Linked DNA regions of Lonchura striata. Each later gene encodes a partner of the first gene's protein in a complex. Links are inferred from orthologs where the notes say so. Each region holds a gene or a part of one and is shown on either strand. Other genes may lie near its edges.

What was found.
Region 2: the proteins of GALR1 (region 1) and GAL are in contact, whole or in part, in a cryo-EM structure (PDB 7WQ3), measured with the Homo sapiens proteins. The link is inferred for Lonchura striata from reciprocal best matches to the Homo sapiens genes GALR1 and GAL. Residues at the interface, in NP_001471.2 of Homo sapiens: Glu32, Gln92, Thr94, Val95, Tyr96, Leu98, Pro99, Thr100, His112, Gln174, Phe177, Arg180, Gln184, Phe186, Cys187, Trp188, Glu189, Gln190, Ile266, His267, Ala270, Phe275, Leu277, Ser281, Phe282, Arg285; in NP_057057.2 of Homo sapiens: Gly33, Trp34, Leu36, Asn37, Ser38, Gly40, Tyr41, Leu42, Leu43, Gly44, Pro45, Val48.

What each region holds. Positions count from the first base shown.
Region 1 is NC_134603.1:59,681,656-59,685,567, forward strand, and holds the start of GALR1 (galanin receptor type 1), read left to right. Parts: upstream 1-1,148; 5' UTR 1,149-1,249; coding exon 1,250-1,951; intron 1,952-3,912. UniProt on the Homo sapiens protein: Receptor for the hormone galanin. The activity of this receptor is mediated by G proteins that inhibit adenylate cyclase activity.
Region 2 is NC_134608.1:43,945,894-43,949,805, reverse strand, and holds the start of GAL (galanin peptides), read left to right. Parts: upstream 1-1,577; 5' UTR 1,578-1,641; intron 1,642-1,749; coding exon 1,750-1,830; intron 1,831-2,747; coding exon 2,748-2,802; intron 2,803-3,783; coding exon 3,784-3,879; intron 3,880-3,912. UniProt on the Homo sapiens protein: Endocrine hormone of the central and peripheral nervous systems that binds and activates the G protein-coupled receptors GALR1, GALR2, and GALR3.

The DNA.
Region 1 (3,912 bases):
CTAGATCTGCAGAAGTCGATGACTTTGCAGTCAGCTGATGTGCAGCTGCTAAGATGCTTCAATATAAATAGCAAAAAGAAAGGTAGAAGAAACCCCCGCCAAACTGCAGACTGAAAAATACGTAACCAAAAGCTGGCTGCCTCCATCAGCACATCTGGGCAATTGTGTTGGTCACTGCTGCTGCCAGCTGTAGCTCACTGACTGGTAATTTGGAAGCAAACCAAAACCCATTTCGTTCACAAGGTGTATGTGCCGGTGAGAATATTCTCATGACCTCGCATCCGTGTGCTGGAGCAGTGTTGTGTTTCGCCCCGCTCTGAAGGGACTGGCTTTCCAGGAGCTCCTGTTTCGGCCCCGTGTCGCGCTGCCCGCGGCTGCCCGGCTCCAGGGAGCCCGCGGGCACTCAGCACGGATGCGCTCCTGCCGCGGCGGAGCTCTCGAGCGTCGTGACTTGGCAGTGAAAAGCGGCTAGACTTGCTATTATTCCATTGCTGTGTGTGTGTGTGTGTTTGGTTGGTTGGTTTTTAATAGGAAGGCGTGACAGCGTCTGCCGCCTTTTGCCATTTGAGATACTGCGTGATTAATGGAGGAAATCCGTGAAGGAGGTGAGAAGAGCGAGCACAGGTGGCGCTCAGTCCGGAGAAACTCCTGCTGCCGGCTACCTGTTGAGGCGGGTTCACGCGGGCGCTTCATCATTTCTGTCGTTCCAAGCGACTACATCGATGCCCGGCCGGACCAGCCGAGCGCCGCCTAGCCCTGCTGGGAGACGCGGCTCCCGAGCCTCTCCCGGAGCGGAGGCACCGAGCGAAGTTTTCCGGGGAGAGGACCGGGGCCCCGGCTGCCCCCCTGGGTGGGGGGCACTCACAAGCTGAGGGGTGGGAAGAAAAGGCGGGGGGAAATAAAGAGGGCAAGAAAACCGCACCTCCCCTTTCTCCGAGGACGCGTTCCCGGGGAGCTCAGCCTCCGAGGCAGCGCGGGAGGCGCGGAGGCTCCGCGGCTCTGCGGGCGGGGCGGGCGCGGGTCCCCGCCGGGGCGGGCGGAGCGCTGCTGCGGAGGGCGGCGGGGCCGCCGCGCCGGCTCCGCGACCGGCAGCGCAGGCTGCGCCCAGCGCGGCGGCACCTCCGCCTTCCCTCCCCGCCGCCCGGTGCCGGCGGGGCGGCCGCTCCGGGCTCGCCGCGCTCCGAGGAGCCGGGGAGCGGCGGCTCCGCGTTCCGCCCGCGGAAACTTTGCCCGGCGCGCAGGAAGAAGGATGGAGCCAGGAGATCCCCCGGCGGCGCCCCTCAACCTGTCCCGAACCGCGGCAGAGACTCTCCGCGGGGAGTTCAACCTGTCCGGGCTGCCGGAGGCGGAGGGGAAACCCCTCTTTGGCATCGGCATCGAGAACTTCATCACCTTAATCGTTTTCGGCTTAATCTTCACCCTGGGGGTGCTGGGCAACACGCTGGTGATCACGGTGCTGGCGAGGAGCAAGCCAGGCAAGCGCCGAAGCACCACCAACATCTTCATCCTCAACCTGAGCATCGCTGACCTGGCCTACCTGCTCTTCTGCATTCCCTTCCAGTCCACAGTCTACGTGCTCCCCACCTGGGTGCTGGGAGCCTTCATCTGCAAGTTCATCCATTACTTCTTCACCATCTCCATGCTGGTGAGCATCTTCACACTCTCGGCCATGTCTGTGGACCGGTACGTGGCCATCGTGCACTCCCGACGCTCCTCAGCCTTGCGTGTTCCCCGCAACGCAATGTTGGGTGTGGGGCTCATCTGGGCGCTCTCCTTCGCCATGGCCTCGCCTGTGGCTCACCACCAGCGCATCTTCCACCGCGAGACCAGCAACCAGACCTTCTGCTGGGAGTTCTGGCCCAACCCACGCCACAAGAAGGTCTACGTGATTTGCACATTTGTCTTCGGATACCTGCTCCCACTGCTGCTCATCTCCTTCTGCTATGCCAAGGTGGGGCAAGTGTAAAAGGATGGGAGGGACACAGGGGTGGAAAAGGTGTCCATGAGCCATAGGGCCACTTCTGGGTATGTGGAGAGACTTGGCACTGTTGGGAGGAGAAACAGCAGGGGTGAGTTTGTGCCACAAAGGGAGAGGGCACAAACTCTTTGTGACTTTTTTTATAGCTGAGGGATGTCCAAGGGATTTACATTCATATATGTTCAATATCACAGAGAGGTCAGAACAGAGATTGCATGGGATAAGTGGGGAGAGTTGTTCTGGCAATTAGTGGGGTCTCCCTGTCAGATTTCCTTGTTGCAGAATGCTAAGTCCGAATGCTCTGCTGCTTTCCCTGTCACCATAACTTAATTTCTTGTAGTGCTGTGTGAGGAGTTTGACTCAATAAAGTACAACAAAGCAACAAGTTGTTCGGGCTTCAGATGAAGTATTGTGGTTCTTTAAAATGTGCAGTGCACTTGAAAGTGGCATAAATAATCTGTTTGGTGTTAAGAGTAAAATGTGCTTCATGCTGCCTGGTCCCTGTGGTGCCATGTCTTGCCCCAGTTGAAGTTGATGAGAGAGTTACCTCTGACTTCAGCAAAAGCAGGTGGTTAGGGAGCAAGGCATGAGAACCCAGGTAGGAAAAAGTAATAATTAAGGGTGCCTGAATATGGATATTTAAGGGCTTCTCTGCTTAAGCACATTGTCACATTTTTCTGGACTAATAATTGCAGCCTTCAGCGTATGGTCCTCTGCTTGCTGGTAAACAGGATCTGGAGCACCAGTTGCTACCTGCTGATATCTTGCTGTTTCTGTGCCAGCTGCCTTCAGTTGCAGGATTTCTCCTTAGGCTGTGATTTTCATTTGAGAGGGATAGGACTGCTCTAGCAAATATGGATTGCTTAAGTCAGTTCTTCAACTGGCAAGTTCAATACATGTACCTGAAGCATTTAATTTGAACAAACAATTTTATGTTCTGCTCAGTTTTATATATATTACATCAGCTTAATTGTGATGTGCAAATTGAGGCTGTAATGTTATCCAACTCTGGTGAAACCAAGGCATGCAGAGCACAAAGGACAACATTTCTAAATGGTTGTTCATAGTGGAACAAATCCAACCTGGCAAATGAAGAAGAAACACAAGTTTTCACACATAAACTGAATCCTGCTTTCCCTGAATGAATACAGTGGTATTTCATCTACTGTGGATGAATATGACTGAGCTGTAGAAATAGATTTTCAGTTTGAAGAAAGTATTACACATTGCAGGGAGAACACCACAGAATGTGTGCACAGGGGCTTTCAGCTGCTAATGCTTCCCCTTCTCAAAGCCAAAGCATCTTCAGTTTCAGCATAAAGTACTGGCCTTTGAAGTCTAATTATATGAGAGAAGATTAATAAGAAATCTTTCAAAATTAGCATAGTCCTGTACAGTGTAGGCATGAAAAAAGCGAATGTGCTTAACCTGAATATATGCATAGTAAATAAAACACACTCTGTCATTACAAAGCACCTCTACAGAAGTAAATATCTCAATATTAGTATTAATATGTAGTTTTTAAAAAAAGCAACAAAAACCTCTCCAAGCCAACAAAAGCAACTATATGTTGAAAATATGCCCAAGAACAAGTTAGCAAAATCAAGGCCACTTGAAATTACAATAAAATTGTGTGCTTAAACTATTGCCAGGCTAGGGCCTCACCCTGGCTTTGTGATGTGTTTTGAGCCTGCTTGCCATGGTGTCAGGCTGGAGGAGCTAACCTGAAGGGGTGAATTTTAGAAGATAGCTGAGTGGTAGCTGGTACAGGCTGAATAGTGCCGTGACTTGTACAGAGCTATCAAAGGTATTTGTACCCTGCACCTAAAGACTCTCTCCTGCCTCTTAAGGAACCACTGACAAAGCTCCAACTGTAATATTTTGGGACAGGGAGAGCCTTCTCAGGCTGAGCAACCCCAGCTCTCTCAGTCTGT
Region 2 (3,912 bases), on another chromosome or scaffold:
AAAAGATTTAGATAAAAAAGTATGATGGGCAAGTGATGGATTAGACTTTTCAGTATACAAGAAGGCTTTCTTTTGCATCTGACTCTAATGGAGATGAAGAGATCATTTCACTCTAATTTGACAGGAAGGTGCAAATACTATAGATGAAAAATCAGAATGAAAACTGCAGGTTCAAAAATGTTTCAAATACATTTTATGGGAAGATCAAAAATAAAATTAGTCAAAGCTCACAGAATTAACGCATTTTTGTAACATTTCTTGAAGGCAAAATTTGGCATCTCTTGATGTAACTTCTTTGGTTTTTTTTTCAAATAACATAACAAAAGAAAACATTTTGTGGCACAAAGAACCTTCATGTTTCAAAAATTACTTAGTGGAGGTTAACAGCTGAAAGCTAGGGAATTTCAGTCAAAAGTGCACTTTTGATAAGATAGAGGACCACATCACTTTGCAAAAATTATATTGCTATTTTCATCTTCTATCTAATCTGAATTGTGAGGATCATGCAATAGCTGAGAGAACACCTTCAGCAAATGATAAACAGTACCAAATAACCTCTGAAAAGCTGAGCTTCCCATGTATATAAATCAGCATTTAAGAATTGCATAAAATAAACTTTATCCCAGCAGTTTTTGCTCAGAGACCCAAAGACAAGGCTAGACTATTACAACCCTACTGCATCCAACAAAAGAGGGTAGGAAATAGAAATACAAGACACAGCTGCTGCTTCTATCTTGGATTGTGAACATTAGGCTACGTTTAAGTAAAAAAAAGTTTGCTTTTAAACTAAAAAGTTTGCAGAGACTCTCTAGCAGTTTCTGGAAAAGGAGCTGTAACTATAACTTATTCTGTGCAACATTTCTGGTGTTTTCTCATTGAAAGAGAAATGAATTTGAGGGACTTGCAGTGAATAAATAATTTGTTGTAGAGAAAGTGCAATTTAGCGGGGGGGGGGTGGGGAATGGAACTAATATGGGAGTTTCTGCTTTGTAATTCAGTTTTGCACATCCCGATACCATCTCAGATCAGCGAACTGGCGAAACAAACGCACAGGCCAGGGCTAGTGCGGTCACTAGAGAGAGCTAAATCCCAGGCTTTTATATATAAAAGATATAACCCTGAAAGGAGCGCTGTCTCGGGCACAGAGCGGCAGGAAGCGCAGAGCCTCCGCAGCTCCTCTCCCTGCTGCTGGACAGCGGGCACGGGCCAGAGGGATTGCAGGGGCCGCGAGTGAACCGCAGGGAGCGGCGGGGCTCGGAAGCAGAGCGGAGTCCTTCTCTCGGGTGCCTTCTCTCGGGCACTGTCCCGTACCCGAGTCTGTGACAAGTGATGTGCGCTCCCTTGCCGCGTCCCTGTCCCCCCTTGTCCCCCGATGCCGCGGGCGGAGGCGCAGGCACAGGGCAGGGGTGATGCGACGGCAGCTCCCGGCTCCCCGCGGGGCGCTCCCGAGCAGCTCTCATTGGATTGCCGGGATTTCTGCCCTCCCGGAGCGGCGAGGGGATGGATGGCCGGGGGAGGCGGGGGGAGGCGGGGGCGGCCGCGGCTCCGCCGGCGCGGCCATAAAGCGCGGCGGGGCCGCGGCCACGCAGCGAGAGCCCGCCGTGGGACCGGCTCCGCGAGGGACACAGCGCCCAGAACAAGGTACCCGCGGCCCCGGCCCCTCTCCCGCCGGGAGCTGGGCTGCCCGGCCCCGGGAGCCCGTGCCCACCCACTTCCCAGCCAGCGTTTACCCGCTGCGCTTTGTTCCAGATGCAGAGGTGCACCGCTTTCCTGCTTCTGGCTTTAATCCTCTGTGCCGCCCTCTCGGAAACACTCGGGCTGGTTTTCTCAGTAAGTATCCGCGTCTCAGCCAGCGAGGGACCGCGAACCTCCCACGGATACACACTGCTCTTAGATAGGATTACAAAGGGTACAGCACTCAAAACCATTTTGGGCTATAAACAGTTTGCCTCTTTCTTTCTTTCTTTCTTTCTTTCTTTCTTTCTTTCTTTCTTTCTTTCTTTCTTTCTTTCTTTCTTTCTTTCTTTCTTTCTTTCTTTCTTTCTTTCTTTCTTTCTTTCTTTCTTTCTTTCTTTCTTTCTTTCTTCTTTCCTTCTTTCCTTCTTTCCTTCTTTCCTTCTTTCTTTCTTTCCTTCTTTCTTTCCTTCTTTCTTTCCTTCTTTCTTTCTTTCCTTCTTTCTTTCCTTCTTTCTTTCCTTCTTTCCTTCCTTCCTTCCTTCCTTCCTTCCTTCCTTCCTTCCTTCTCAGATAATAATTTGGAGCTTTTGAATACTAGCTCTCTTGTAAAAAAAAAATTGCTATGACTAAGAATGTATAGTTGCTAGCCCAAAATTGAATGGGTGTCCCACCTTCCTCCCAAAGGATGATGTACATATGGACTTCTTTTATGAAGAGGCTGTCATGTAAATCCGAGCAAGAAAAAGAAGCACTGCCGTTTGCTAAGGTGGCTATCAGATGGTAATATAAACTTCACGTATAAAGTCGAAATTTCTGCCTCTGAAGTGTGATTTGCAGTCATCACTTACGTGGGTGTGAAACAGTCAAACCACATGGAAGTCAATAGCAACACTATAGACTTAGACAGGGAGGGAGCAAGAGCTCACCATGAATATTTACTTCAATATGATTTGCTTTGTTTTAAAATATTTTTTTCTTAATTTTGAGCCTTCAAAAAATTCTTTCTGCTAAGAGAATGTCCTTTTGAGTGTAGGTCGAGCAATAACATACTTGTGGTTTTTTCCTTTAAGGCGAAAGACAAAAGGGGTTGGACTTTGAATAGTGCTGGTTATCTACTCGGGCCACGTAAGTGAGGCACTTCTTTTATTCATTATTTCAAAATGCAAATATTGTGTTATTCACTTCTCTGTATACAACAATTTTATCTAAATCTGCAACAAACTCATTTGGAAAAATACTTGTTTATATGTTTGTTACATGCTTATCATAGAACTGAGGTGTCTGAGACAACAGCTGTTCTTTTCTAAGGAAGTGTGATGATGGGAGGCCTTATGTCCAGAAACACATCTGCTCACATTTTGTGCTTCTGAACTGTAATTTTCATATGACAAATATGTCACCACAAAAAGTGTCAAAAAACCCTATAGCATCATATACATCATGGTCAGAATAACAAAATGTGTACCTCTCCATGTATTTCAGATCTCACCTTTAAATCTTTTTACAAAATTTCACTACTTGACTTTATAAGACTACTTTTTTTTTAATTAAAGCAAAATAAATTAAAACAGTAACTTGCAAACTCAAGACTGTTAACAGTTCACTATGTGAAAAATCAATATACAAGGTGTTTGAAATACAGGAGTACTGGTTTACGGGTGGAGATAACAAATGCAGGTTGTAAGGAAAGTAATGCAGAACTAAGCTGTCTCAAATGTTTGTCCTTTTACCATTAATTCTTGTGAATGTGGTTACATTCATCACCAATGTTTCTGTATTTTCAATCTCAGTAACACATAGACAAATACTACACATACTTACTCTGATACTCTTCATTATTTTTAGCTAACAATAAGGAGACATAAAAAAAGAAAAGAAGTTTAATGCATCTTAAATGCATCTTTACTGCTTCTGTAAATGTCTGGAAGTATATTTGCCCAAAGCACATCTAAGCAAATTGGAAAAAACACTGTGGGGAAATGTGCTTGTCAAAGACTTCTATTTTGCATCTAAGACTGGATAATAGGAATCATCCTTTGTTGCAGGTCATATTGATCAGCTTTTACTGAGTCAATTAACTCCTCTGATTTTTAACTTATTTATCAGATGCAGTAGATAACCACAGATCTTTTAATGACAAGCATGGTTTCACTGGTAAACGTGAAGTACCACCCGATGAGGATATTAAAGCAGGTAATGAAGGTCTGGAAACAAGCATTTTTGATTTGTTTTTTA